4 linked regions of the Notamacropus eugenii genome follow. The protein of the gene in region 1 interacts with the protein of each later gene in a biochemical or structural test. Links are inferred from orthologs where the notes say so. Each region holds a gene or a part of one and is shown in the gene's direction. Other genes may lie near its edges. The genes, in order: SKP1, SUGT1, FBXW2 and CDKN1B.

What was found.
Region 2: the proteins of SKP1 (region 1) and SUGT1 form a complex in vitro, tested with the Homo sapiens proteins (2 studies listed by BioGRID and IntAct, with this or other methods). The link is inferred for Notamacropus eugenii from reciprocal best matches to the Homo sapiens genes SKP1 and SUGT1.
Region 3: the proteins of SKP1 (region 1) and FBXW2 form a complex in vitro, tested with the Homo sapiens proteins (2 studies listed by BioGRID). The link is inferred for Notamacropus eugenii from reciprocal best matches to the Homo sapiens genes SKP1 and FBXW2.
Region 4: the proteins of SKP1 (region 1) and CDKN1B interact in a test that uses a peptide from one of them, tested with the Homo sapiens proteins (2 studies listed by BioGRID). The link is inferred for Notamacropus eugenii from reciprocal best matches to the Homo sapiens genes SKP1 and CDKN1B.

What each region holds. Positions count from the first base shown.
Region 1 is NC_092872.1:341,052,025-341,059,743, forward strand, and holds the start of SKP1 (S-phase kinase-associated protein 1), read left to right. Parts: upstream 1-4,343; 5' UTR 4,344-4,714; intron 4,715-7,719. UniProt on the Homo sapiens protein: Essential component of the SCF (SKP1-CUL1-F-box protein) ubiquitin ligase complex, which mediates the ubiquitination of proteins involved in cell cycle progression, signal transduction and transcription.
Region 2 is NC_092877.1:291,035,155-291,042,677, reverse strand, and holds the start of SUGT1 (protein SGT1 homolog), read left to right. Parts: upstream 1-4,422; 5' UTR 4,423-4,675; coding exon 4,676-4,707; intron 4,708-4,811; coding exon 4,812-4,869; intron 4,870-5,939; exon of another isoform or gene 5,940-6,004; coding exon of another isoform or gene 6,005-6,025; intron 6,026-6,606; exon of another isoform or gene 6,607-6,642; coding exon of another isoform or gene 6,643-6,663; intron 6,664-7,523. UniProt on the Homo sapiens protein: May play a role in ubiquitination and subsequent proteasomal degradation of target proteins.
Region 3 is NC_092872.1:441,489,661-441,497,107, reverse strand, and holds the start of FBXW2 (F-box/WD repeat-containing protein 2), read left to right. Parts: upstream 1-4,327; 5' UTR 4,328-4,359; coding exon 4,360-4,428; intron 4,429-4,542; coding exon 4,543-4,651; intron 4,652-7,447. Other genes in the region: B3GALT9 (beta-1,3-galactosyltransferase 9), read right to left, coding at 881-1,984, 2,822-2,827. UniProt on the Homo sapiens protein: Substrate-recognition component of the SCF (SKP1-CUL1-F-box protein)-type E3 ubiquitin ligase complex.
Region 4 is NC_092874.1:198,276,157-198,283,763, reverse strand, and holds the start of CDKN1B (cyclin-dependent kinase inhibitor 1B), read left to right. Parts: upstream 1-4,456; coding exon 4,457-4,934; exon of another isoform or gene 4,935-5,544; coding exon 5,545-5,666; 3' UTR 5,667-5,675; exon of another isoform or gene 5,676-5,992; intron 5,993-7,607. UniProt on the Homo sapiens protein: Important regulator of cell cycle progression. Inhibits the kinase activity of CDK2 bound to cyclin A, but has little inhibitory activity on CDK2 bound to SPDYA. Involved in G1 arrest. Potent inhibitor of cyclin E- and cyclin A-CDK2 complexes.

The sequences.
Region 1 (7,719 bases):
CTGTGCTCTGAACAGGGTATGTTGGGACTATCACCTCCCTTGTTCTGGATGCTCAATGCAGCCTAAGAGCAAATGAGTTTGGTTTTTTTGCTGTCTTGTCACACTTGATCCATATTGAGTTTGTAAACCACCCAAAGCTCCCAGATTTTCTTTTCAGATGAACTGCTATCCAGCCATACCTCCCTAATATTGCATTAGTGATGATTTTTTTAACAGCCAAGTGTAATACATCAGTAAGCATTTATTAAACACCTACTATGTACTAGACCCTGTGCATTGGGGTCAAAAGTGAAACAGTTCTTACTCCTGAATTTACATTCTAATGGGATGAGACAAAGCACATATGTAAGTATATACAAAATTAGTATAAGAATATAATAGTTTAAACTTCATCTCATTAGATTTGGCCCAACATATATAGATCATGTGTCCATATTTGTCCTTATTGTCTCCCCTGTTGGATTTTGAGCTCCTTGAAGGCAGGGACTGTCTTTTGCCTCTTTTTGTCTCCCCCAGGCTTAGCATGGTGGCAGAGCTAGCACACAGTAGATGCTTAATAAGTTTATCGACTATTCTTGCAGATTTGTTTGACCTACAAGTTTGATAAGCATACCAATTGTTGAAGTCATTGATGAAAATGTGATGGTAGCTTCATTGATTAATCAAGCTCTTTCTGTTGAGAAATAGGCATGTGTAGGATGATATCCCTACACATGTTGATAAATGGTTCTTTGGGGTCCTCCAGAAAAGAAATGCAAAGGCTTCCCTCAAACTTTATTTCCTATTCAATTGAAGGTGAATTGAATCTGGCACCATCTGGTGGCTGAAATTGGGAACAGCAGAAGGGGAGAGAGTGAGCCTCCATGGCCCTACCAGGCCAAGGCCTGCAAATGGAGCCCCTGGATGTGGCTAAAAAAAAAAAAACAAACCAAAACCAAAAAACCCCACCAAATCTTTCCAGTTCCTCACTAAAAACAATCCTTACCTGCACCTCAAGGGCAGAAAGGCCAAGATATATTCAGAAGCTAAAATAGAAGTAATTATAGATTTTCAATTTGAGTTGGACTAGGTCTAAGGGACCCTTCCATACCTGAACAATCAGGTAATATTATAGTTGGGGCAAGATGATGCAGTGGATGGACTGCTGGCCCAGGAGTCAGGAAGACTCATCTCTCTGGCCTCAGACACTCACTAGCTGTGTGACCTTGGGTAAGTCACCTAATCCTGTTTGTCTCAGTTTCTTCATCTGTGAAATGAGCTGGAGAAGGAAATGGCATGCCACTCCAGTATCTTTGCCAAGAAAACCCCAAATGGGGTCATGAAGAGTCACACATGACTGAACAACAACAAAAAAAATATGAGAGCCTATGAGATAATGAGATATATGTATGGATGTAGATGTATCTAGCCATCTCTATAGATAGACTTATCTGTAGAGATGGCTAGATACATCTAAGTCTATAAGATACATTCTAGCCTGTAAGATATATATGCTATAACCTGTAATATATATAAGTACATATCTATATATCTTATAGGATATATATCTGTATAAAATTTATAGCATATATATCTCTCATAGGCTAGAATGTCATGTTATTTATGTGATATGTTATACAGGCTATAATGTTACTATTATTGTGTATGTGTGTGTATATATACATATACATACATACATAAGCACAGAGCTGAAGTGAGGAGTGTTGCAGGCTCTGACGCTGGAAGAAGTGCAGTGCTTTGACATCCCACATGTTCCCACAAAACCTGCTAGGGCAGTTATGAGTGATGAAGCTATGAAAAAGAGCTGGGCCAGTATGAATTGCACTGCCCCACTTCTCTACCTCCCCTCCCCCCACTGATCTGGGACCCAGCTGGGGGATCTTTGGGCAGGGAGAATATAAAGTTCAAGCTACCACTCTGGCCCGAGTTTTTAGACTTCAGGGAACTTCTTTGCTTATTACTTTTTGTCTCCTTGCCTGGAACTTTTTGCCTTCCTGTGAGCAGAGTTTTAATGGTCTTGGAGACTGGGGCGGGGGGGAGGGCGCGTAATGTGTTTTTTATTAGTGAGATAGTTTATTTTGAACCTCTAGCTTTAAGTGATCCATTTTATCAGTTGTGGAACCATGGACTAAGACTAACCAGGAGAAAGGAAATTTTATAGAGGCTTCCCATTTTACTTTTATTTTGAACCTAAACAGAAACAGAGGCAGGGAGGGGGAAAGAGAGAGTGAGAGAACATTTCCATATACACAGAAGAACACAAAAGAGGATTCTACTTGCAACCATCAATCTCTATTTCATACTGCTTGCTTATCAAATATATATATGTATACATACATATATTGTGTGTATGTATGTGTGTGCATACACACACATACACACACACACATATGTTCTACCCAAACTATCCACCTTCTTTGTCCTTCTAAACTTCTAGATGGTGTAGTGGTTAGAATGCTGGTCCTGGAGTTAGGAAAAGAGTTCAAATCTAGCCTTAGACACTCACTGTTTTACTCTGGGCAAGTAATTTAATCTCTGCCTCAGTTTTCTCAATTGTAAAAGGAGGATAATAACGTAAAGGTAACCTACCTCAAAAGATTGTTGTGAGGATCAAATGAAGTAATATGTTTGTAAAAGTACTTAGCATAGTGCCTGGCACACAGTAGGTGCTTATAAATGACCTCTCCTTCCCTTCTAACTCACCCTCCTCAATTAAAAAGCAACAGGAAAAAAGATACTTATAACAAGTAAGCATAGTCAAACAAAATTAATCTGCACAGCAGTCATCCAAAAATATGTCTCTGTACCTTTTGTCTATCGCTTCTATATCAGGTGGTGGGTAGCATGCTTCTTCATACGTCTTTTAGAGACATGACCAGTCATTGCACTGATCAAAGTTCTTAAGACTCAACGTTCTCAAAGACCTGAGTTTCTCATGTGAAAAAATGACACCTACTGTGGACAACTTTTCCAAGGAGTTTGCTACTACAGTGGGCAGAAGAGATATAGCAGTAGCATAGATGGAAGATCAATTGAGGATTTTTTTCAGGATAGAAGAGACATGAGCAGTAGGAAATGAACCACTAGAGAGGGAGAGACTGAAGACTAGATTCAGTTTTAAGAGTAAGTAAAGGTTCTAAATGGCTTTGTATTTTTGGTTTAGGAAGCCTATGCAAAGCCACAGAGATGGGAGACACAAGAGTCAATGGTAAGGCAAATTTGGTTAAAGTTGGGTACATATATATACATATATATGTATACATATATATATAAATAATAGCTGTTGCGGTTTTACTAAAAAGGGGGGAGGGACATGGTTATCTGTGCTTTAAGAAAATCACTTTGACAACTATGTGGAAAGTAGATGGATTTGAGGCATGACTGTTTACTGGACAGTCCAGGCAAGATGTGAAGGACCTGAACTAAAGAGGACAGGTGAATAGAGCAAAGGAGGGGCAGAATAGGAGAGATATTATGGAAATAGAATCGACAAGACTTGACAACTGATTGGATATATGTGATAAGGGGGAGTGAGAAGTTGATAAATAAGTTGTTGCAAACTTGAATGAATAAAGGATGGTGGCACCCCAGGCCTGGCTGACTGGAAAGGCAGTGATGTGATGCCCTCCAAAGAAAAAAGTGTAGCCCAGAAGAATTTTGGGGGGGAAAGAGAGAAATCGTTGGAAGTTATGAGTTCAAACCTCATTTTACAGAACAGGAAACTGAGGCCCAGGAAGTGACCTGTTCAGCTTTGCATAGGGTGGTGCAAAAATCTGAACTCCAGCACTAAAATGACAACTCTACCGCCCCACAGCTTCCTTCCTCTAACCATGTCCAGTTTGAGGCCCTTGGGGGGGCGCTCAGTTGGGGGTGTCTAATAGGTAACTTAAGTATATGGAAAGGGCATCAGCACAGAAATGATCATTAGATTTCAAGGCAGCTGATGAGGTCACCGAGTAAGAAAATAGAAAAGGGCAGGAACAGTTTGGCTTTCCTTAGCTGTCAAATGAGGATAATGTTTTCTGAATTATCAGGATTATTTTGAGGAAAGCACGTTGTAAAATAAAGGTTTTCTGTCCAAAAATGTAAACTATCAGAGAAATCGGGGGTTCTTTAATTTTCCTGTTTCTCCACCCATCTCCCAAGAAGTTAAATTCCTTAAAATGACCTGCAGCTGTCCTTCACTGGGTCCCTCACTGGCTCTCTGGCTATTCAGAGATAAGCAGGAGCTGCTCGTCCCCCACAAAGACCCACGGTGTAGACTCCATGAACTTCCCCAGCTCCAGAGCATTCTGCTGAAGACAGCCTCTGCCTGAAGGACCCCGCCCCCAGGCTGCAGGAGCTTCAACGAGCCAGCCTGCCTGTGCCTCCAGGCCTGCCCCTCTCAGGACGGGTGGAAATGACAAAAGCTCCTCCGAGAGTGCCAGAAGAGAGGAGGCTAGAGAAGGCCCCTTTCGGTGGGTGTGTGCTCGTTCCCCTGTCAGGCAATGTCCTCGGACATCCCAGCGTGCTCTGTGACGTCACCAGGCCTGGGGTCCTTGGCTCCACTCTGTCCGCCCTTATAAAGGCCGCCACCACTGGCGCTGCTTCTGTAGTGGTCTTGGTGCTCCGCGCTGCTTCGGGGCCTTCCCTCCCCTCATCGCCTGTCCCTTAGCCCACCGGGTCTTCTCGGCTCCGCCAGCTTGCCCGCCGGGGTCCCCGGGCATCCGGAACCGTAAGTGGTCTCGGCACTGGGGAAGGCAGGGTGGAGGAGGAGCCGCGGGGCGCGGCCCCGTTGTTGCTGTGTGGCGGCGGCCTAGGCCTCGCCCGCTCCCTTCGGAGCTCGCCAGCCCCCCATCCCCTGCCCGTTCTCTCGGCGTTTCCGGCCGCCAGAGCAGGCGGGAGCCCTGACCCTGTTCCCCTCCCTTGTTCCAGGCCGCTCGAGCTCCGACGTTAGCTTCACACGCCACAGGCCGTCCCGCTTCTAGGCGCCTTGACTCGGTCAGCCTGTATACCTGCCGCCGGGGTCCCCCGAGGCCCGCGCCCCGTTCACGGCCCCTCTCCGGCCCCCCGTAGTCTGCCTGCCTCCCTGCCCGCTCCCACGGGGAGCCTGAACTACTTTTCAGCTTCGCCCAGCGTGCGACCCTCGGCCCTCCCCCCTTCCCCAGGGTCGTCTGCACCTCCCTCGCCGGCTCCTTCCGAGCCCGAGCTAGTTCTCCTCAATGATGGGGCACCTCCTGTGCTCCCCTTGCCATAAGGGTCTACCTTTATACCCCTCTCGCGGGGGTCTTCAGCAGATTTGTTGTGGGTAGTCGGAGCTGGGTAATCCGGCCCAGTCCTTAGAAGGGGGGGGGCCCTTATTCCCGTTCTGTTGAAGCCCCAGACTTCCTTATTCACCTGCTGTGCAGGGGGAGGGTCTCGGTTTTTCCTCTTGTAAAATTGGTCCGGTCGGTAGGAGCGCCCTGGATTGTAAAGGCATTTGTGCGTTTTGTTTGTTCGCTCTGCTGCGAACGCTGGGTAAACAACATGACTGCGCTATCTCGGGAGCCACCTGCCAGCCGCCCCGGCCTGCCCGCGACGGGAGAGTGGTCGTTGTCCTAGGCGGAGTGTGGCTTCGGAGGGCCGGGAGGCCGCGGCTGCAGGAGAGCCCGGGCCGGGGCCGGGGCCGGGGCCGGGGGGCGGGCGGCGTGGATTGTTGGCGAGGCGCGTTCAAGCCCCGGAGCTGCTGGACCCTAGAGCTCCCTCCGAGGACAGTGGGGTAGGAGCCAGCTCTGCAGTGCATTAAAAATACGGCCTTCCTGATCTGTGGCAAAAGAAGCAAGTGGAAAGGATCCCTTCTGCATGGCAAGACTTGAGGGGAAAAAAGACACTTTCCGTGTTCCTGGAGGCAAAATGTTTCTGCTTTTTTCATGAACGTTTTCAGTAAGCCTCATGGACAGGATTTGTCGTAAATCATTTTGCAGTTTAAGTTGGAAGCGTTAGAAATATTAAGACCTCAGACATTTATAAATGTACTTCATCTTAGTAATAGAAATGCATACCCATTTAATCAGGAAGGGAATAAATATAACCAATAGTATTCATAGATTTTAGGAACTCAGATTTGTAGTCGTTAACGTTTAGGTGGCTACTTTTCAGAAGATTCACTTCTCTGGAAATAGGGCTTTTGGGGGGAGGGGAGTGCAGCGTTGTGTGGAGCTGTTTCCAGGGCTGATGACTAAATTTCTTTGAATTCTGGATTAACATCCCTTCAGTGCTATTTAAGATCTTAAAGATTCCAGAGTAACCAGATAGGTCTGAAGTTTGTGACCAAGCAAATTTGTTAATGACTTTTTTGATCTTGGATGAATGAGGGAACTTAACATTCTAATAAAATGTCAGGCTTATTGTAGTCCATGACATCTTAGCCAAAAAACTCTTAATGTCACTTGTGTGTATGCATTATGCAAGCTAATATTTTAAAGCCTCTAGATTTATCTGCCTTTTGGGCAGGCAGCTTATTCTAAAATAGCCTTATTTAACCAATGGAGTCTCTGTAATTTTGAAGTTGTTGGTATTTGTAAATCTGCTGCAGTGGAACTGGCCTCAGTTCCATGGGCAGGGCTGGTTTCAAGTTAGTTTGGTGGTATGGTATGATAAGAGGATAAGCTTTGGTACGTTGAATTCAAACTTCTGCTTTTATGTCCAGGAATGAAATCTTTTCAAAATTTGCATTTTTTTCTACACAAATATTTTGATATATTGCTGTTTTCCTGCTACTTAAAAAAAAATTTTCACTGCAATAACATTTGATGTAGAGGAACTGTGGGTCATCAATTCCCATCTTTCATTTTCAGCTCCCAACATTCAATTTTAAGGCTTACTTTCACCATATTTGAATCAGCTGTAACATTTTTTCCAGCTGTAAAACGTGCAGTACATTTAATAAAGTCTATAGCATACATTTTAAATTTTACAGATCATTTTCATTTAATGTAAAACTTCATAGATGCTTTAAAATATTTTTTTCTAATCTTAAAGCTAGAATCTTTTTCAGAGAATGAATCCCAGAGTAATTCTTGGATAAATAAACCTTGTGTAAAAGTAGGCAGAACCAACACGTACACACAGTAATGTAAAAGGTAATACTGAAGTGCATTTAACTGATATTAACTTAGTGAACATCTTGTGTGCAAGGCATTTGCAACGAGTAAACCAGTGTAACTGGATTGTACTGGAGTGAGGAAAATAACTCAGGAAGTAGGAAAGGGTCAAGTTATGAAGAACTTTTAAGATGTCAAACTGAGGATTTAATTTGTTCATGGGAGTTAATAGGGAGCTACTGAATTTAATTGGGGATTGGTTTGGGAAGGAGGTAGTTGATATGTTCAGACCTAAAATTAGCTATTTCCCTTTGCAGTTGGGGAGGTGAAAGTATTTTGGGGAAATAAAAACAAAAAATAAGAGTCCCAGTAACGCTTATACATTCATTCATCAGGTATGCACAAACATTTTAAAGTATGTTTGAAGAACATGTTGTGTGTGTGTGTGTATCTGCCTGTCTGTCTGTCTCAAAATATCTAGCCTTCTCGATCCTAATTCAGAGTAAAATTTTATTTAAAAGATAATTTTGCCTAAGGACCATGTCTTCCAGGAAGTAATAATGATGTAAGCATAAATTCTTTATGTTTACATATACCAACACCTAACTACCGTTTTCCTTTTGGGCCTTTGATAACAAACTTGTTTTGTGGAGCTAAC
Region 2 (7,523 bases), on another chromosome or scaffold:
AACAAAAAATGCTGCACCTGCTGCATGGACATATTTTAGAATTAAAGCATGAAGGAACATGCATTTTATATTATGAAGGCTTTCTTTTGAGATCTTTGTCTTAATTGCTACACTTTTATCTTTTTTTTAAAATCCCCTTTCTGATTCCATGTTATGATAGTTTTTATTTCCTATGTAAATATGTTAGTTAAATGTAAGGCAGCAGTGAGTTTATATAGAAACTATGTTCATTCCACTTGTATAAAGTCTATCTCATGAATTTTTAAAATTGATTTCAGTTGCTCATCTGCTTCCCACTGTTAACATTGTGTGCCACAAAGAATTGGTATGTAAAATGTAAAGAAAAAAAGAGAAACTCAGTCTTCAATCTGGGCTGCTTTGCAAGTAGTACCTGCAGGGGCATTCCAGGGCTCCGCTAGAGTGCTTTAGTCTGGACTTCAACTCTGTGTGACCTTGGGCACATCAATTAACCATTCTTTGTTTCAATTTCTTCATCTGGGGAATTAGGTGTTCTTTAAAGCTGTGGCCGGTTGGCAAATGATGTAATTTCCACACTCCCATAGGACGAAAAAATTGCTATTATCTGTTAACATGTTTTCAAGTTGAACTCTAGCTCTAAATATTCTGATTTCAATAGTCTCATGCTAAACATTTTTATTACACCATTTAAAACGTCAAGTTACTGTAAATAAATTATGCCTGAGGAAAAAATCCAATGTCACAGTAGTTCTTGATCAGCATTTTTTGCCAAATATGTATGTTTTACCTGGAGATTTCTTTAACTCCTTAGACTACTGAGTGGCATTTAGTAAATGATGGCCATGGTTTACTAAATGATATATACTAGTGGTCTGAATAAACAGGGATACCGTTCCTAAGTGCCTACTTAATTTTTATTGAAAAAATTTAGTTTTGGGTCAATCTGGCTCACTTGTCAATAGCTTATAAAAACTTTTCTGTTCCTGATTTTTATGTAATGGGAATGGGGGGTGGGGGGTGGGAATTTTATACATATATATGTGTATATACATACACGTGCACATGCTGACACACATAAATGCATACATATCCAGGCTTTTGATGGAGTAGTTTTAGAATACTTTTTCAGCTGTAAATATTGTACATTTAATTTCACAAGAAAAAAATAAAGTTTTCAGCAAATTTATTTCCTAGTATAGAGATTTTTATAGATGAAAAATCATTGGTTAGAGGCCTAATGTTATGTATTCATATTATTACAGAGTGAATTTGTATTTAAAGACAAATTTTTGAAATTCCTAAATCTTTTGTATTTTAATTGGTTTATTATTGAATAAATAATGTGAAAAGTTCAAGTATTCTTGTTTGTTTTTAGGGCAGGATATATAGTTTTTAATTTACATTGGAGAATGTTTCTAATATAAAATTTATACCCAGTAAGTTATTAAGCAGAGTACCTTGTTAACATACCAAATAAAAAGGATTACATATCTCATACAATGATTACAATAGGTACTGAAATCAATGATTCTGGATAGTGAAATACAAGTGTCTTTTATAATGATGCAAAATACCTTTTTACCTAACAGTAAGTAGTCTGCTGTTTAAGGCCATCTGTTTGCCAGTCTGCTTGCTCATCTTCATCTCCATTATTTCTTTCAGCAAAATAATATTCCATCACATCCATAATTTTTTTTAGCCATTTCCCAACTGGACACTCTCTCAGATTCCAACTCTTGAGCATCCATAGGTTAAAATGTATTTTTTTTCTTGTTTAGTTACTGGTTTTATTTCAGAATTGTCTGATTAACACTACGATAAACATCAGGCACGTTGAAGGATTAGTAGAAGAACCATTAGATTTACTAAAAGATGGACTGCTTTGACAGGCAGCCTGAGCATGCGGGGTAAAAAGACCTAGCAATTATGAAGGTTTTTAAGAATAACTCTTTGCTCCTACGGGCCTGCCTTGCAGCCAAAATGAAATAAAACTGGGCACTAGTGCTGCGAGCACAGGACCGAGAGACAAACAGGGCTAAGGAGAGCGGAATCTCCCTTGGGATTCACACCTTACCCCAAATACACAGTGAAACGGACCCAACCGAAAACAATGTGCATTTACTTCTGTTGACAATTCCTTGGGAAGTCTGGGCTCACGTGATCGCTAAGGCTCCACGTGAAACTCAGCAGGCGGCTGACGGTCGTTTCCACCCCACGTCCCCAAAAGTTCTGGGCAAGTTTAATCGCGTCGTAAGGCGCCCTCCAAACGGCCTCGTTCATTTTGGGCAATTAAAGATTAAACTCTCACTTGGACTCTGGAGATCCCCTGTACCTCCACGCCACCAGTAACGGGGTGTGTGCCCGCGGTGGGGGATGGGGAGAAAAGACCACGCAAGCCCACGCTTCTCGCCACCCTCCAGGCACACCGGCCCATCTTAGGATCGACTCGGAGCGGGAAGGGATCGTAAAACTGTCCCCCCGATTTAGGGATAAAATCCAGCCAAGGAAGAAACAGAAACGGGCCTCGACCCGAGGATCTCTGCCTCCCAAGCAAGATTCAGATCGCCCTCCCCTGCTGCTTTACTTTTTTTTTGTTTCCTTTGCCCCCATTAAAATGCGAAGGATCGGCCATCGGCCAATCGCTGCTCCGACGTCTCTGGAAAGTCGGAGACAGAAGAAAGCCGGGGTAAGAAACGGAAACTGGACCTCGGAGAAGACTAGCAGGGAAAGGGCGCAGAGGAAACCGGAAGCTTCGTGCTTAATACCCGGAAGTCAAAACTCCCACCGCCCTCTACTCCGCCAGGTCCCGGAGGTACAGTCGTTCTCGGGCCTGTTGCTCGGGAAAACGCGAGATCGTGGAATGGTGACGCGACACGCCAGACGACGTCCTGGCGCGTTCTATGCGCCATGACGTAAGGATGGCGGCTGTGAGGCCGGAAGTAGCGCGTGTCCTCTGATAACAGCACGTTGTGCTGAAGGCTGCACTTCACGTGTGTGCATGTGTGCAGGTACCTGCCTTCCTGCCTGCTACTTTGACTGCTTGTGTTTGTGTCCGCCAGTCAGCCTGCTTCTCTGTCTAAGGGTTTGCCGGCTTGTCTATTTCTCTGCCTCCTTGCCCATCCACCGTTTGTATCTCTGTCTCTATTCCCCCCTCCGCCCCTCCCTCCCTCCCGAGCCCCTCCCTCCCTCCCGAGCCCCTCCCTCCCCTCGCGAGCCCCTCCCTCCCCTCGCGAGCCCCTCCCTCCCTCACGAGCCCCTCCCTCCCTCCCTCACGAGCCCCTCCCTCCCCTCACGGGCCCCTCCCTCCCCTTACGAGCCAGCAGCGTGACCCTCGGCAAACCCGCGTCTGTGTCAGTTTCCTCAGTTGTTAAATAGGAGTCATAAAAACACCTACCTTCCAGGGTTGTTGTGAGGATCAAATGAGATGTTTGTAAAGCGCTTGTCACAGAACGACTACGAAATAAATGCTTGTTCCCTCCTTCCCTTTGGTCTTTCTGTTGAGCTTTAGGGGTGCTGGGACCCCCGTGATTTCCACACCCAGTCCTCAAAGCCTCGCCTCCATCCTCTCCACGTCTGTCTCTTAGAATTATTTCCCTTCAAGGCTTAGCTAAGTCCCCGTCCATAAAAGGCCTTTTCCGAACCCCGGTAGCCACTCAACTGGTATTGGTCACTTTCCTGCAAGGGTCTGCTTGCTCCACTCCTCCAAAATACTCATTTGTGCATATTTTACATTTGCTCCTGCTGTGTGCTATTTCCTCAGAGAACATATAAGGAAGGTCCTTGTAGGCAACGAGCACAAAGTTTGGCACATAGTAGGTTTCAAATGTCTACTGATTAACTTGTCTTGCCCAAAGTAGGATACAGACCTATGTCTTCCTGACTCCACGCCCACACTCTTCACAGTATACCATCAGTTCTTACAGGCACAATAAAATGGCATCACAGCTTTTCAGCCTTTCCCATTCTTCAGGAACTCAATATTAACAGGGTTTTTTGTTTTGTTTTGTTTTTGCCAGCACGAAAAGTATCGCTACCGATATTTTGGTGCCTTTTTCCTGTCTGACCTCCTGGCGTAGCGGGATCAAAGGATGTGTGTACTTTCGCCCTTATTTAAGCATCAATTCAAGTTACTACCGATTGCGCCAATCCACAGCGGCCACAATCACGGATTAGTGTGGCTGTTTTGTCTCCTCCCCCTCCCTGCATCTCGCGTCTGCCGAAACTTGGAAGTTTTAATCTTCAGCTCTCCTCCTAAGAGTAATAATTTGGAATGTTTTTTTCATACGGCTGTTGATTTATTCCGGCTACGGTTTATAGCCTTTGACTTCTGATCTATGGGAGAGGCCTACTAGACTTGTATACTCACCACAGTTAAAGGAGGGACTTTCCGAAAATCGCGGGGGAGGGGAGAGAGCTAGGCTGCCGTAGCGGAGCGGAGGGGGCGGAGCTAGGAGGGAGGCGGGGCGGTGCCGGGGAGAGGAGGAGGCCGCCGCGTGGGTAGCCCCGGGGGTTGCCTTGGTAACACGGCGGGAGGCGGGGCTCCCGCGGGGCCAGTCCTCCGGCTTCCCGTCAGTCCCCGCGCCTGCTCCTCCGTTCCCCTCTTCCCCTCACGCTAGCTCGGCTCCTCCGGACGGAAGCTCGCAGGGTGTTTCTCCAGAAGTTTCCCCCCTGGGCGGCGGCGGAGACAGCGCGAATTATGGCGGCGGCGGGACCCGCAACGGCGTCGGGGTGAGTGGCTCCCGGCCCCGGGGGGTGGTTCTGGTCCCCTTCCCCCTCTTCTCCTGTGCTCTCCACTCCGCTCACCGCCGCTGACGTGATTGTCTCCCCGGCAGGTTGTTCCCGCCCCTGTCGGACGGGCAGATCGACGAGGACCCCCAGGCGGCCGCCGAGGTGAGAGAAGCCCCCTCCGGCCCTCCCCGCGGGGGGCTTCAGACCCCCCCCCCCCGCTGACAGGTGTCAGGAGAAAGTCCTGTCCCACGGCGGAGTCGGGGGGCCCCCGGCCCCTGCCCTGCGCCCTGGACCCCGCGATTGTATCTTGTGCGGTGCTCGTCCGCTTTGTGAGAGTCCTCCCCTACCTTTCTAATGGAGCGGAGTCCCCACCGACGGGACAGCCGGGGTTCCCGTTTGTGGTTCAGATAACCTGTAGGTGGGATCTCTGCCAAGTGTCCTGGCGTGGGGAGGACGTGGGTTGGTGTGAAGTCTGCGCTCTGTGCGAGTCACCGGCGGGCTCCGAGTGTCACGTTTCCTCCCAGGTTACTGTTGCTCAGGGATCCAGACCTCCCGTTGCTAGTGTTGGGGCTTGTGTAAATCGCTTTTCTGGGACGTTGCCTTCCTCTGTAAAACTGGGAGGAAAGAACTTTGTGAAGCTGCAAGTACTCAGGGAATTATGGGTTATGATATCTTTTTCGGTGGAAAACGTTATATTTTTTCCCATTTCATGTAAAAATAATTTTTAACATTTTTTTTTTAATTTTAGTTTTCAATTCTCTCCTTCCCTTTTCCATTCCTTGAGAAAGCAAGTAATTTCTTATAGATTATACGTGTGTTAGGCAGGCAAAACATTTTTCCATGTTAGCTATGTTGTGAAACAGATCACACCAAAAAACCCAAGAAAAATAAAGTAAAAAAAGGATGCTTTGATCTACATTCAGATTCCATAGGTTCTTTGTGGAGGTGGATTGTCTAGGATCATTATGGTGCTGAGAATAGTTAAGTCATTCACAGTGGATCATCGCATAATATTGCTGTTACTGTGTGCAATGTTCTTTTGGTTCTCACTTTACTTTTCATCAGTTCATGTACGTCTCAGGTTTTTCACAACCGTGCTGCTCCTCATTTCTGAGAGCATAATAGTATTCCATCACAATCATGTATTACAACTTGTTCAGCCATTCCCCAGTCGATGGGCACCTTTTCAATTTCCAGTTCTTTGCCACCACAAAAAGAGCTGCTGTAAATATTTTTGTACCTATAGGTTCTTTCTCCCCTCTTTTTCTTTTAATCTCAATGGGATATAGACCTAGTAATGCTGTTGCTGGGTCAAAAGGTATGTATGCTATTTCTCAGCCAATACCAGAATGTTTTAAATGATTACTACTTTGTAATCCAATTTGAGATCTGCTACTGCTAGGCTACCTTCACTTATTTTTTCATTGATTCCCTTGATAATATTTAATCTTTTGTTCTCCCAGATAAATTTTGTCATTTTTTTATCTCTGTAAAGTAATTTTTTTGTAGGTTGATTGGTATGGCACTTTAATTGGTATGGCAAATTAATTTAGGCAGGATTGCTATTTTTATCATATTCACTTGGTCTACCCATGAGCAATTAATATTTCTCCAATTTTTGAGATCTGACTTTATTTGTGTGTTTTGTAGGTTATTATTTTTAGTATTAAGTTGTACATAAATGAAGGCTTTATGTTACTATAAGTAATTACTGTGATTACAGTTTTGTAGTGCTTCAAGGTTTATGATAAAGTACTTTTTGCGGTAATGGTTTTACAAGAAAATAGAGTAAGTTTGATTAAATATTAGATTCAACATTTGTCTGTTTAAAAAAATTTGACTAGATGTGAATATTGTGCACTGAAATCCCTGATATATGTATGTGCTTGATTTTTTCAGTGGTTGATATTCAGTGGAATAAACTGAAAGTACTTTATGAAACCAACTCTTTATGCAGTAAGTTTTTAATTTTTGTTCTGAAAAGCCTGGAAGATTTCATAGGAAGTATGCTTTTATACTGTCATAAACACTAGAAATTCCTTTAGATACAGTAGCTCATTTTATGTTTGGTGATTGAGGTAAAATTCTTATGAATGTTTACCATAGAATAGTCTGCAAATGTAAATCTAAATCACAGAATCTCAGATGTAGAAAGGAGCTCAGAGGTTGTCTAGTCCCTCTGGTCCCTGAACATACTTGACTGCATCCTATAATAGTGAAGTATTTTTTTTCTCTTGGAAGATCTCTGGTCCTGAAGCACTCACTGTCTTCTAAAGCAGCTTATTCTACTCTTGTTCAGCTTTAAATGTTAAGAAGTTTTCCCTTACATCTAGCCAAATCTCTCTTTGTAACTTCGTGTTGCTCCTGGTTTTTTTCCTTTTGGGGCCATACTGAACAAGTCTGAATGCTCTTCCATGAGAAAGACATGCAGCTATTAATATGGCTCCATAAGTCTTCATTTTTAACTGACAAAGTTTCTGGACCTTTCACCAGTTGGTATGTCTTTCCCTGTTATGTCTTTAAAATGTGACATTGAATACTGATTTCAGTATTCCAGTTATACTTCTTATCAGACCAAGATATAGCAAGATGTAATTTGCTTTATTTAGGACATTGTGCTAATATTAATGGAATCTAAGATTTTTTTGTTTTTTTTTGGCAGCCAAGTCACATTCTTGACACATAAAATGTAAGCCCTTAGAGAGCATGGATTGTTTAGTTTTTTTCCTATGTATCACCAACTCCTACCATGATTCCTGGCACTTAGTAGGAGCTTAATACATTTTTATTGAATGAATGAATTGACAGTGTCCACA
Region 3 (7,447 bases), about 100 Mb from region 1:
TTAACTAGATGACAGTGATCGCTAATGTCCTCTTCAGCTCCAACAAAGAAGAGGCTAAATAACTCTGGAATATTTTTGAGGCAGTTCATAAAGCAGACAGAAATTTAGATTGGATAACCAACCTCTAATGTCTCTTATAGCTCTTAATATATCTTTCTGGTACTTTAATCCTAGTTCATTCTTGTCTATCTTGTAAGAGAAATACAGTATGCCAACCCCAAATGAATGAATGAATTGCTTCCTGTTTGTATTGTATGGCCTGTTTGGACTTAGTTGAAAAATTTCTGCTAAAAGTTACCAGCATAGGAGGTAAATGTGCTAACTCAAGGAACTTGTACACCTATAAGAATAAATTTAAGATTTCTATGTAGTAGTTACATATAATTCTTTGAGACTAGATGATGGATCCATGATTTTTTTTAGCTTATGGACCCATTTGCTGTATGCACACAGCATTGAGTATTTTACAATAATTCTATTTAATTTTTTTTTTGTATTTCAAGTCAGAGATATAAAAATACAGAGCTAGTTCCATTAACATATGTATGACTTTCTTTCAACATTATTGAGAAGCTTTACAATTATAAAGAACGAGAAGAGGCAGTTCTTCACAGAAATAAATTTAATGCATTCCCCTTTTAAAAAGACAAGTTGATTGAAGAAAGGATTCTATGCTATATTAAATTCTTTAGGAACTGTTATAAAATTGGTATTTGAAACATGAATAAAAGGGTTAAGAAATTTCTTTCTCTTGCTTAAATATATAATTGCAAAGGCTTTTATAGCTAAGCCTTTTGGGGAAAATACAACGGGAGGAATGTTTACTATGACAGGAGAAAGAGAATTGTAAAGCATATATTTTCTATAGGAAAACGAAATCTTAATCAGCAAAATATATTGCATCATTTTTTATAGGTGCTATATTAAAGTGTTTAAAGCTATCAAGATAAGTTAGAAGTTTGCAGGAGACCAATCCATAATAGGTTTCAAGCAAGGTGCATGCTTTCCCATCATTAACTTCCCTCCACTCAAGTGGCATTTCTTCACCTGTCATTTCTGAGGATGTGAAGATGAACTTATAGCAGCATCGATTGTACCTGATGTGCTTCTCTCCAGAAAACCGTGAACTGTGGATGGGTATGAGGCCAGCGTACTTGGCACAGATTCCTATAAAAACATCAGCAGGTATTGCCAAAGGTGCTTCCTTGAAAACCACATACATCATACGGGCCACATCCTGAGACACAATAAAGGCCTCTCCACTGCAGTAATCAGGGTAGTACTTTTCTGGATACTCACTAATGGGAACAAAATTCTGGCTTTGAGGATCTCTGTTGGGCATATCCTGATGGATGACCCTTCCCACATAGATCTCTTCAAGGTGGTCTTTTAAGTTGAGAAGATAGTCTACCAGGCTAGGGAGATTGACAAACATCTCTTCATTGACCTTGAGGATGAACATGGCATTTGGGCAGAAAGTTACAGCCCACTGCATCATCATGATGGTCTTTAGTGTTTGGTTCCCAGAACTGTCCAGGAAAAATCCTTCAATAATATCTCTGTATTTATTAGACTCCATGTTGATGTCTTGCTGAGAAGTTCCCAGATCTGGCATTCCTAAGGCAAATAATGTAAGGATAGGATGTCCGCGAATAGTAGTCACATTAGCCCAGGTTTTCCTTATCAAATCCCTCCTTGACCCATTTTCTGGACTGCTGAAGATAAGAGAGAGTAAAAAGATATCTTCTCCCTTGCATGCCTCCTCCTGGCTCAAGATATAAAATTTTGAGAGGTTATATCTTAAGGGCTCCACGTTTAATTTTCTGGCTTTGTCCTTAATCTCAAGAACTCTGACATCTACATATGGTAATGATTGTAGAAAGTATTCTTCCACAAAGTCAGCTCCAAAAAGCAGAGCATGAAACAAGATGACATTAAATAAAATGAAGCACCATTGGTGAGTCCGAAGCCTACAGAATGTCACCTAAATAAGAAGAGAACATAAAGGTAGTTGTCTGCCCTCACCTGAAATTAGTGGAAATATATTTGGAGTAGAAACGAATTATTTGCTATGTCTCATTTGAGTTATTAGCCTTTGATATTACCATTTACATGAAATTTGTTTCTCCCATTTTTCCAGTTGCCAAGCAGTTTTTTGTTAGTTGTGGCATAATCTGAAATGCTTATGTAGTTCTGACCCTGGTTTCTGAAGTTTTATTAATATTCATATGTAAATGATATATATGTAACTGAAATATTCCAATATATATTACATTTATGAAAGTACTCAAGTGCTCATTGGGACCAAATTAGATCTGCATGGTTTCTTGTCCAAAGAGGAATGCGTAGTAGTTTTTAGCTAAGAAATACACACAAAAATACAACATACAAGAGACTGCTATATCCTGCTTGCTCTATAGTATATAGCATCAGTGGAGCTCTGATGGAAATAGGTTGGAGTTGGAGAAGGGAAACAACCCATTTTCACTGGCAGTATCTTATAATAAGGCTTTCCACCTTCCTTTTCATATAATTGAATAGAGAAAAAAAATCCTATTCATTTGTAAAATGAGAGAGTTGAACTCTATAGACTCTAAGATTCAGCCTCCAAATCTACCATCCTCTGGGGTCCTCTTATTGATCATTATGATCTGAATTTCTCATTTTCCTAGTTTGCCTACAGCAAATGAAAATGCAGACATTCTTTAAAACTATTTAACCTAGGGTGCTAGAGGAAGAAGCTAGGTAACATAGAATTCTGAATCTCTGCCTCTCACAAGAAAGGTAACAAGTATCTTAAACTTAAAAAAAAAAGTTTTACCTGCATTTTATCCGTGATTGAATTTGGAATTCTCAAAGCACTTTAGTCCAAATATGGATTTGGGTTCAAATATATAGATGAGTCCATTTGCAACTGAAGTGGAAGCACTTTGTCTGGAACTTTTAGGATAAGGTTTCTCTCTAATCAGCTTGATCCTTTGTTCCAGCTTACTTGATGGATGCACAGAAATGCTCATGCTCACACACAAACACCCTGATCATGTTGCAGTTGGAGAAAACCCAGAGTATTAGAACAGTCTGCCTAATTCATTAGTCCCTAAGACTGTAGGGAATCATTAAAAAAGAAATGTTTCCTGATGTTCAGAAATAGTTAATAAAGCGTTGGACATGATCCCTGGGGTTATATTTTTCCTTGTAAGCAATAACTTGTTTACTTGAACAACAGTTTTTCTAATATTTAGCAATTTTCTAATATTTAGCAAGTATGGTTGGATTAGATGATCTTATGAAGTCATTATGTGACAAAAAAAAAAAGTTAAGGGCTTTGTAGGATGTAGGCCTGGATATGTGAATTTAAAGGATTTAAATGAGTCCATTATAGGCTGGGTCTGATAACAACTATTGGCTCTAGAGTCAGAGGACCTAGTTTCAAATTCTGCCTCTCACCAGTGTGACCTTGAGCTCTCCCTTAACTTGGACCTCAGTTTCCTCATCTGTAAAAGGAAGGGATGGCCATTGGGCCCCCTCCTAACTGTATGATCCCATGCTTTAGGATTGGCTAAATTAATGGTTTTTAAAAAGTTCATAGCATACCCGCCCCGACTATAACTCTTTGATTCTCCTAGTTAGATGGTGGAGGTGGAGGTAGCATAATGAAAGAGCCATCAAAACACATTTTGTGGAAGCCATGTATAGTGAAATAGAGTCAAGAAGAGATCCGGAGTTCAGTACATGCTAAATATATGACGTTGAGCGAGTCACCCCACGTCTCGGAGACACGGCCTCATCTGTAAAGTGAGTTCAATAAAATGAATTGAAAATGTTGTGAAAGTTGTGACCTGCATTCAAGGCACTGGGACTTAAGGCATAGGAATTTAACTGCTTCAGTTTTCAAATGGTTAGGAAGCCAGGATCCATGGATAACAAAGGGAGTGCTAAAAGTGGATGATATAAGCAAGGTAAAGAGTAAAAATTGAGAACGAAATTAAATAATGAATCAAGTACTTGGAGAAGTCACACGAACACCCAGTTGACAAGTAGGCAGGCACTGTGGCAGTGAGAGGAAAAGCCCTTTTAAAGGCCCATCCTGACATCTTTCTGTCTACAGGGCTTTACTACGTTTCTTGTTCGCATTTCCGCCGGCTTTTACACACACTTGCTATCTACTCCAGCCCTGGAGCCTGGTGCCGCTCGGCCAGCGTCTCCATTTTGGGGACCACTACGCATGCTTCCTTCATGCTCCTCTAGAAGTGGAGGTCGGAAATGCTCTCGAAGGTACTTCCGGTTAGTGTCTTTCCTCTCCTCGCCCTTCCCCGACTTAACTCGTCAGTTCCCAGGGGACAGGCTGGGCGCGCGGAGATGACGTGCTGTGGCGCCGGAAGCCGCTCCCCTCCGAGCCTCCGGAACCCGAGCGGCGGCCGCGAGTTGGTGTGTGGGGCGGGGGCTCCGCGGGCTGGGACGGCGGGGGCAGCCGGAGGAGGGGAGAAGAAGAGCTCGTGCCCGTCTGACCCACTGTGTGTGTCTTTGTGTTTCCCTGTCCAGGCGCCATGGCTGCCGAAGGTGCCCGGCCGCTGCGAGGCTCCGCCGGCCCGCGGGCGCCCAGGCGGCGTGTGTCCGTCCCGACGCCCCGGGTCCCGGAGCGCGCCCTCAGGTCAGTGCCCGGGGCGGGAAGCCGCGCGCGTGGGGCTTGTGGGGGGGAAGGGAGCGTACGTGACGGGGGGGCGGTGTCCGAGGGAGGCCTCCTCTGCTTCCCTGCTGCCCCGCCTTTTCCTCCCGTCCAGCTGTTTGAGCCAGCCCAGCCTCTGAGCCCCGATAACCGCATCCGCCCCGCAGCGGAGCCCTCTTCACAGATCTTCGCAATAGCTACCGTAGCCCGTCTTTGTAAAGCATTTGGAGGCCCCCAGAGCTCACTCGAATCTTGTGATGTAGGTAGGACCGGTACTAGCCCATCCTGCGGATGATGGAATAGAAATTCAGAGAAATGAAACGATTGACTTGCTCAAATTCACAGCCCTGGTTAAGAAGCCAAAGCCAGGTTGTGCCCAAGATCATGCAGCTAGCGAGCGGAGGTCCTTTCCTTTCAGTCCAGTGCTCTTTACAAGACCGTAACACTACCGGTAATAATGGACGTTTGCATCGCTCCTTGAAGTTCGGCAATCATTGTACACATAGATCTGTTTATATTTGAGCCTCACGGCATTCCCCTCGTGTTAGGCACAGAAATTAAATAACTTGCCTGTGTTTATATGGTGAGTAGTTGTTAATAGGATTTGAACCTGAGTGCTGCTCCCTGACTACACCATACTGTCATGAGGTTTTACACATGTATATGGTTATTTCTGAAGTGTATCTTTGACCATCACATGCATAGATCCTTGCAGTAGAAAGGGGACACCTGTCTGTTTCAGTTCCACCCAGTTCTTCTATGTCTGTTGCAGTTATAGCAAACCTTTATCACTGAGATATATTTGCATTATAATCTTACTAGTAAACTAGCATGAGTAGTATTATTTTCATATTACATGTGAAGGAACGTAATTGTGACATATTGGAGGTCATTCAGGTGTTATTTGGAAGTGTGATTATTTGAATCCAGACTCAAATTGGGTGCGCTATACCGTGTTGCGTATGTTTAACAACCTCCACCAATTAACTCCAAGAGTTAATTCATTTTCTCCTAAGGCAGCAGCACTAATTCCTTTTGACCTAATTCCTAGGAAGTTTTGCTTCTATTGATGTCAGCCTAATCCATATGTTCAGTCAACTATCTTAATGATTTTGAAATACTTTAAAACATTGAGTCATTTAACTAGCATTTATTCACCTATTATGCCAGACACTGTGCTAGGGAAGGATACAAAGAAAGAAAATAACAGTCCCTCCCCTTGTGTACTTGTCAGGTGAAACGAAATTGAAGTATATGTAAAATCATTTGAGGTGGGGTAGAGAGAGGCCCTAGCAGTTGGGGAAAACAGGAGAGATTCCATGTAGAAGGTGGCATGTATTGTAGAAGATGTAATAATGGTATTTCCCATTTATATAAATAATACCTTAAGGTTTGCAAAACACTTTTCCTTACAGCCTGAGCTTCAGGTAGATCAAGAGAGCATTATGTTAGGTGTTTGGAGAGATACAAAGCTTAGGTAAGAACTTGTCTCTGCCCTTGTGGTGTGGATACTAATATAGGTATCTGTAATATACAACAAAAGTTTCAGAGGGAATTGGTAATACTTTCAGTGAGAGGCAGCTTGGTGTAGTGGCTAGAGAGCTATCATGTTTGAAATCCAGAAGCCCTGGGTTCAGAGCCTGCCTGTGATACATACTGGCTGTGGTCCTAGGCAGGCTACTTTCTTTCTCAGTGCCTTAGGCTACTCTCTAAGATTACAAATTGCAGAACAAATGCCATTCTACATTTGTTGAGGAATTTCTTCTTTGGAAGTTCCCTATACAAGTGAAATCGTAGGCCCAGAAAAAATGCATTAGAAAGTTGCAAAAAATGTTACATTTGAGGAGAAGGTTGTTAACAACAAGGGGGTCAAGTCATGAAAGAGTGGCATTTGAATTGGACTTTTAGTATGAGTTGCTAAAGGAGAAGTGGGCTAGGGAATCATAGTGAGCAGCATGAGCAGAGGCACAGGAAAGGGAAACACAAGTCTTATTCAGGGGTCACTTTGGTTGGAACTTAGAGTGCATAAAGGAGGGTAAACTGATAAAGATGGCAGGGTGCTTAAATGTCAAGTAGAAGTTTAAACTTCTTTGGCCAGACAGTAGGAAGTTACTCAAGATTTTTTAGTTGAGGCATTTTATTGTCAAGGTCAGGATGAGTTTGTGATTCTCTATTTTAATTATTCATTGTTTAGTGTCTCCTAGTACTCTTCAGTGAGATCATGATCAAATTAATTTAGCTTTAAGTAGGAAACACTGATTTATTATTTTAAATGATGTAGTCCTGGGAGTTCTTTACTAGGGCATTGAGAAAATGTATTTAACAGGAATTAAAACAAGTATCCAGCCATTATAAATCAAGGCTTTTATAATGTAATAATAGTTCACCTTTATATGATGTGTTAGGCTTTCAAAGCACTCTAGGTACATTATCTTATTTGATTCTTATAGCCAGGTAGGTAGTATGGACATTTTCTCTATTTTATCAGTTAGTAGAATAAAACTCATGATGGGGAACTGACTCACTCAAGGTTGCCTAATTCATTGGTGTTTCCTGATTCTGAGTCTAGTACTATCTGCCATATCCCATTGCTTCATACAGTATAGTGTATGTTAGTGGCTTTTGAAAAAGTAAACCTGACTATTGTTTCAAAATAAAACAAAATGACAAGATAACTAGTACTACTACGGAAACAAATGCGGTATTTAGTGTGACCAGTATTGCCTGCAATTACTTCAGGTTTTAGAACTCTCTGTATTTTTGTACTGTTGTGTCTTTACT
Region 4 (7,607 bases), on another chromosome or scaffold:
GGCCTTAGCCATATTCAGTTCAGTACTCCTGAACTCAAGGAATCCAGTAATCTCAGCCTCCTCAGCAGTAGGGACTCCAGGCATCTGTCTGTCACTAAGGCTGCCAATGGAGAGTACTTTTGTTCAGGATTCCCCAGAACTGTCTTTACCTTGTGGGGCATGGGACAATCTAAGAAGTGTCTTAAGAGCTTTATGTTTCTGTACCTAGGTTCCTGTTAATCTTTTGCATTTTAAGAATTTTATGTAGAGGGTGAAATAAAGGTTGTCCCATATTCAATATCTGTGTTTCATATTAAATGCTATATAAGACTAGGGGACCCTTGCCTACGTTTGAGGAGACACTGAGTGAGCTACACTTAAGCTTTCTTCAGATTTTTCCCAGAGTAAAAACTCCAGCCTGAAGGCAAAGAGCAATAATGGCTCCTTTGGGATCAACCCTCCCCCCCCCCCCCCCCCCTGCACCCCCTCCCCATCAGACCTGGGTTTATGTGAACCTAGAGTCCCTGAGACACATGGAAGTCACTCTGGACTGTTTTCCTACAAAGTATTCTCCTTTTTTCCCTTTTCCTCTTTAGGGAGAAGAATAGTACTCTGAACATTTCAGAGTCCCTTTTCTTAGGAGGTCCATAGTATTTTTAAAATGCTCCTATGTTTCTATAACAGACGCCTTGGCTCTTCATATTGGCCACACAGATGTGTGTGCCTTGACTTTAAAAAACACTATTTTATAGAGTTCTCCCAAAGATGCAACCTTTCTGTAGGCTGTTTGAATTTCTTAAGGTGGAATGATCCTAGTTTGAACTTTTAGAGACTAACTACAATAGACATGCTAATTTCAGAAATGAAGGGGCAGAAATATTATGAATACAACCATTATTAAAAATATCTCCCAAAGAAACAAACTAAAAGAAATTGTAAAAGTTAAAATATATTTACCACCCTTAGAAAAGGAGCAAGGACAAAAGATTAGAATTACCTTGGTTTCTTGGATGATTTCTTCAGGTTTTTTTTTTTAATTCACATGCAACAGTAGGTGACATGGTTGGCCCAGACTATCAAGCTCCATCCTCCTGACCTTTCCAGTCTCTACCAAAAAGTTTCTGAGACACAGACAGAGGGAGAGGAAGAGGTGGGCCTTGAGACAGTGAAGGCAGTAGATTCTGAAGATTTTCTGCATACAAAGAATGAACTCTTCTTTGACAACAAACGGGTAGAAAACTCTCTTTAAAAACCACATCTATCGCTAAACTGTGCATACTCTTTGACTCAGAAATACTTCAAATAGACATATATCCTGAAGAGATAAAAGAAAGATGAAAAGAATTCATATGTACATACTCATAGCAGCACTGTTTTTGTAGCAGTGAACTAGAAGCCCATCAGTTGAAGGAATGGTTGAAGAAAAATCCCTTATAAGTATAAATGCTATCAAGTCATAGGAAATGATGATCTGGAAGGATTCAGAGAAACTTACCAAGAGATATGAACAGATGCAGAGTAAAATAAGCAGTACGAGGACAGCAATTTAGGTGGTAACTATAAAATTATAAAGAAAAACAACTTTGAAGGACTTGACCAACTATAACTCCATAAGACAGAGGATGAAATGTGCCTTCTGCCTTTTGACAGAGAGGTGAATGGATTAGAGATACAGAAAGGCACACAACATTTGCAAACACCTTCAATATCTGTTTTGGTTGGATCTGTTTTGTTATACTAGGCCAATGTATTACAAGGGAAGGTTTTAATTTCTTTTTTAGGGGAATGTGGAGTGCAGTGACTAGTGACTAGTGACTAGTGTTAACAGGGCTCTCCGAAAATGAAAGACAAGAATGTCAATCAATAATTTGATATGGACAAGAAAAGAACAGAAGGTTTAGAAGGACACATAATCAGAACAGCTTTTGGAAGTAAGGTGATGACCCAACCCATGTATATTTGACTCATGGTTTATAAGCAATGTTCTTTTTCTGTTTTTCTTTGCATAAGGAAATGTTGAGGTTTGTTGGTGTACATCAAGTATGGAATAAGAACAACAAAAAAGGAAACATTAAGCATGTTTAGAAATTGGCAAGAATTTCTCCTGTCCTCTGTCACTGACTCCTACACCTGTTATTTGGGTGTTGCGTTGTTTCTTTGGCATTTCCTTTCTACTTGAACTGCTGATCTATAATCCTCAGAATCATAAGATGTTATCTTGAAGGCCATCTACAGAACCACCTCTCATTATAGCGAAGAAGTAATCAGTACTCCATGCAAAATAAGCCAATCTTTTCTGTGCTAGAGGGAGCAAATGCTCCCTCACATGCTCCCTCCCACCTCCCTCTCCAGAGGAAAAAAAAGGCCAAACAATGTCCTCAGGAAAGAAAAGTCGGGGTCAAATCATTGGAAAAATTCAAGCATCAGACACACCTATGACTGGCCACAAGTTTTACATCAAACCCTCCAAAAGCAGGCTTAAAACCTGATACTACCCTACAGTTGAAGGAAGGCAGCCTCCAATAATACTGAAATGCACTACTGGCCCATATGAAGAAATCTGTATATGGAGTGGAGGCACTTATACAAAACCTCTTGCTTTGTAATCAAATCTGGCCTCGGTCCCACCTTCCCCCTACCCCCCTCCATTTTCCTGTTTTAACTTCCTGAGCACTGTTGGGGAAAAAATGTTGATTCTTAGCTCCAGTGTTGCAGAGGGTAACAGACTGGGAAAGTATCCAAATCATCGCTAGTTCAGATGAGTTGACATGGCAGTAGAAGTTTCATAATTATTCCAAAAGACACGTCCAATGAGAATAATATGCACCTTAAAGTAATTTGCAGGTTATCACTTCACTTGCATCTGAAATTTGTATCCTGGGTGAGCTGCTGCAGATAGTGAGGGTTAGGGGGGAGGGGCGGTGATACTGAGAATAGGGAAAAGAGAAAGATGAGGGAACAGTTGATGGAAGAGAGGATGTTGTTTGCTAGTGGCTGGTCTCAGGTGGAAGAAATTGCTACAGCCAAACGGTTGAAGAATTTAAAGAGACAGAAACAGGTTTCTACATTTATGAGAACATCGTTTTTCCTGGACTCTAGTAGGGAGAGCAGCAAAACCTTTGATTCTGGGATTAGCTCCAGATGATTCTTACTCGACTCTTTTTATCTAAGGTCGTTTCCTGGCTTTTGTTCCTTTTTCCTATACATGCACTTCTAAATACTCTAGTCATCCAAGCTCTGCTCGCTACCCCTGACTTTTCTGGGAAAAGTTGACTCCTGTTTACTGCCCTAACCCCTTGGCCCCTCCGCTCCTTATCAGGCTGCTCTGGAAGGGAGACGTCGGTACAAGCTACGGAGCTTTCCAGCTGAGCCTGAGCGCCAAGCCGGCTCACCACCCCAAGTTCCGCGCCCCGTCGCCTCCCCTTCCCTCCAATTCTGGCCGGCGACTTTCACAGCCTTTAGGTTTTCTGACCTTCGCAGCCCAAGCTGGCGGGGGTACCACGGAGCAGGATGAGCAGATCTTTTAGGTACCAAGCAAACTGTATGGAACCAGCCTCCTTCCTCCCCCCGCCGGTGAGACTAGGAAGAGCAGGATCCGAAACGAGAAGAGCTGCGCCCGCCCAACTCCGTGAACTGCCAATTTATGCTATTTATTTTTGACTTTTAATTTCTCAAAGACTAGCCTGAGAGCGTTGCTTACTCCAGACCCCCCTCGCCCCCCAGCTCCCACCCCCGATACCTCGCGATCGCACAAGTCTCATTCCTCTGCTTTGCAAACCAGCACGATTTCGGTAGCGTCGAGAGGTATCTGGCAGAACTGCGCCCGGACTACCTTAAGGCAAAGCGCCTAAACGCAGCGAACCAGCCTCCGCGGGGTGGCTCCCGAAGCCACAGCCAATGGCTCCCCTTCTCTGTTTAAATAGATTTGCAATGTCAATCATTTTCTCCTTCTTCAGCCTCCCTTCCACCGCCATATTGGGCAACTAAAAAAAAGTGCTCGGCTTTTTGGGGTGTCTTTTTATATTCCTTCCCTTTCCCAGTCTCTTCCTACACCACGACTTTTGAGATCAGCCAGGTGTTTTTGTTTGGTTTTGTTCTGTTGTTTCCTCCGCGGCTCGGTTTGGGAAACCCACAGGCTCTTACCGGCTGGGTCTTGGACTAGCTTTTCCAATTCCCCCCTCCCCTCCCCTCCCCTCCCTTTCTCTCCTTTCCCCCCCTCCCTCTCCCTCCCTACGTCCCTCCCTCCCTCTCTCCCTTACACTTGATCTGCTGGGAGACTTTTCTGCTGGCTCTCCCGGGCTTCCCCCTGCCCCCTCCCCCAAACCCAACACTGATCCTAAAGCTTGTGTAATTATTGGTGGTTGTTTGTTTCCCTTGGCCCCGAAAGGGAATCGCGGGACCTATATAAAAGGGGCTACGTGTTCGGATTTTTTTGTTGTTGTCGTTTTTAAAAGTTGAGTGGAGACGAGGGAGGACGATGTCAAACGTGCGTATTTCGGACGGGAGCCCGACCCTGGAGCGGATGGAAGGCAGGCCGGCGGAGTACCCCAAGCCTTCAGCTTGCCGAAACCTCTTCGGCCCGGTGAACCATGAAGATTTAACGCAGGACTTAAAGAAGCATTGCAGGGACATCGAGGAGGACTGCCAGCGCAAGTGGAACTTCGACTTTCGGAATCACAAACCCCTGGAGGGGAGTTATGAGTGGCAACCTGTGGAGAAAGACAGTTTGCCCGAGTTTTATTTCAGGCCCCCGCGGAACCCCAAAGGGAGATGCCAGGGGCCCGGCCAGGAGAGCGGTGATCTCAACGGAGTGCGCCAAGCGGGGTTTTTTATTGCTTCTCAGGGAATCTCAGAGGACACCCACTTAAGAGATCAAAAGACTGAGGGTGCATCCGAAAGCCAGACGAGTTTGGCAGACCAGTGCACTGAGACGAGGAAACGACCAGCCACGGATGGTAATCGCTCCTTTAAAATTAAAATAAAACAAACCCCTCCCTTGTTTACTCGGTCTGTCTGGGCCACTCCTTGGCTTTACTGGAGGTCCGTCCCCGAAGTTGTGTCTAGAGAACACCAGCTCAGTTCTTGGCTTTTCCATCGGTAGCTGAAGCTATTAACCTTACGCTCCGGTGCTCTCATCTAACTAGTTATCATTTCTTTTGAGTTAAGGCTACTAGTTGTGTTTCCTGCCAGTCGGTGTAAAAATTTATCTGTAAACTTAACGTTTAAAACCCACCGCCTTCCTAAAACACCTGTCCCCTCCCCCAGTCTGCCATCATAAGGTATGTTAGTCACCCAAACTATTATCTTGCAGCTAGGATGTTCCTAATTATCCCTTGGGAAAGATTGCGCTATGTTATCCCTCGATAGGTACCGGGGTCTTGGGAGCAGGTCTTTGTTAATAGCAACAATATTTTCAGGATTTTAATACAATCAGATTGCTCCAGGATTGTGGGTGGTGGTAGTATTTCCCCCCTCCCTTCCCCCGGCTAACTTTTGTTAGCTAATGCTTTTAATAAAATCTGTTGCTTGTCTTCCCCTCCTCCTCTCCACAATTTCCCCTGCTAGATGTCTCACCTCAAAACAAAAGAGCCAACATTACTGAAGAAGAGGTCTCAGACACTTCTCCCAATGCTAGTTCAGTGGAGCAGACGCCCAAGAAGCCCAGTCTCAGAAGACATCAAACGTAAACTACTTAGGTGGGTTGCTTAGCTAGGGTTCAGAAATGAAACCAAACTGCACTGCTGGAACTGGTAGTCTCTGCAAACTCCTCAACACATTTTATTTATTAGTTGCCTATGGATAAGAAGTTTGCTAGTTTGTTAAGGGTATTTCAGGCCCCCTTCCGCCCCCTCATACACATTTTGTGAAGTTGAAAGAATAAGGAGTAGGGGAAAGGGTCGTTGAGTTTCATGCAGTTTTCTCCATCAGGCAGATCTTTTCTTGAGACAAATTAAGCAGTTACTCCAGAGTGAAAGATAGCATCCTGGATGAAGACTTATCCTGGAGGTAGTTCCTGGTGAAAGGGAGATCATCCTCTTATGAGCCTTCACAAAAACTTGATTGGAAGATGAGATTTTTTTCAGCCCTAAATAGGGCTGTGGTTGTTCTGTGACCCAGCAGAGGAGTTTGAAGGTTTTATCATTTTTCAGTGGTTTCAAATAAAGGCATTGTGTGGACCCAGAGGGAAGAAGGGGAAACAAATGGTTTCATCTTTTCATTTGAGAATAAACGGAGCTCCAGTGAGTCACAGAAGAGTTTAGAAATAGGATAAAGTGGCATGTGCAACTCATTTATTTTGATCCTTCTAGTGTCACACCACTTCTACTGGGTTTTTGGAGGGTGAGGGAAACATGTTTATGCAGAAGAACACGCAGAATCATTAAAAGTTACTCACAAAGTTTTTCCACAGCTCTGAAGTGCTGCAAAGTAAAAGTTAATGAATTCTGTCCCCCTTAAGCAATCTGGAACATGTCAGCATGTATATGCAAATTGTGCTAGAACAACTCACTATTTGGGTATTTCAAGGGGAAAGGAATAATAAGTATCAGGGCTGGCTAAGGCTGTCTACTTAGCTCTAGGGAAGTGGAGATTTCAATAATATGCTGAATTTGATCAGTTTAGATAGATGGAATAATTCAGTCCTCAAAGCTCTATTTAGGGGGCCTTAATTCTTCAGGCCAGCTAATTCTACTAGTCTACTAGGAGAAACTGAGTCTCATTTCTCCCTATAATATTCTTTATCAGTGGCTGCCACCTGGTAGGTGCACAATAAGCATTTATGGAATGTCGATGGAAACTACAATATAGAGGACACTTTAAAAGTGTGTGAGGGCATGTTTTTATTTCTTAAATTGAAAAGTCGCTCCAGTTTTTTTATGTAAATTAAATGTATATAACCTCCATACAATACAAAATGCCCACTTGCAGGGGCTTGTTGAAAGATGGCTTTATAGAACCTCTCTATACAGTGGAGGAAATTGGATGAAATTGTTGACTAATTCACCTGAAGATGTCAATATCTGCAGTGCTGCCAGGTCTCTTTCATATATCTTTATGTCAGACCCTCATAAAGTTTTGGTCTTGACTTATTCAGCTAAGCAAGACTTCTCAAATTCAAAGAATCTTTAGAAATGTTTACTCAGAGCACTGGCAAACTTAAAACAAACAAACAAAAAAAGCAACTGTACACATATATTCATCACAAGAAACAAGGATAAGCTTTAAAATTTTTTACCCTATTAGCTTAAGAGATAGCCATAAAATATTGCCAAAGGTCTTTTCAGCTGGATGAACTAGCTTAAAGGGCTACAACAGTTTACCTATACCATATTCATTTTGCATCTTCTTAATTTTTTTTGTACTGACCACTTAACTATGTGATTAATTCCTAGTACTCTCCTCTACCAATGTAGATCAACAATATATCTCTGTAACTTATGATCTTAAGAAAAAAAAGTTGCCTGGGGCACTAAGACTTTCAGTGACTTTCAAATCAGAACTTAAACCCTGGTCTTCATGACTCCAAGGCCCACTATGCCATGTTTTCCCCCTCATTCTGTTCTTAGGCATTTTTCAAATAAAGGTGAGTTGTGGAATTTTTTTTTTTTACCCTTGTAATTTGTTTTGTC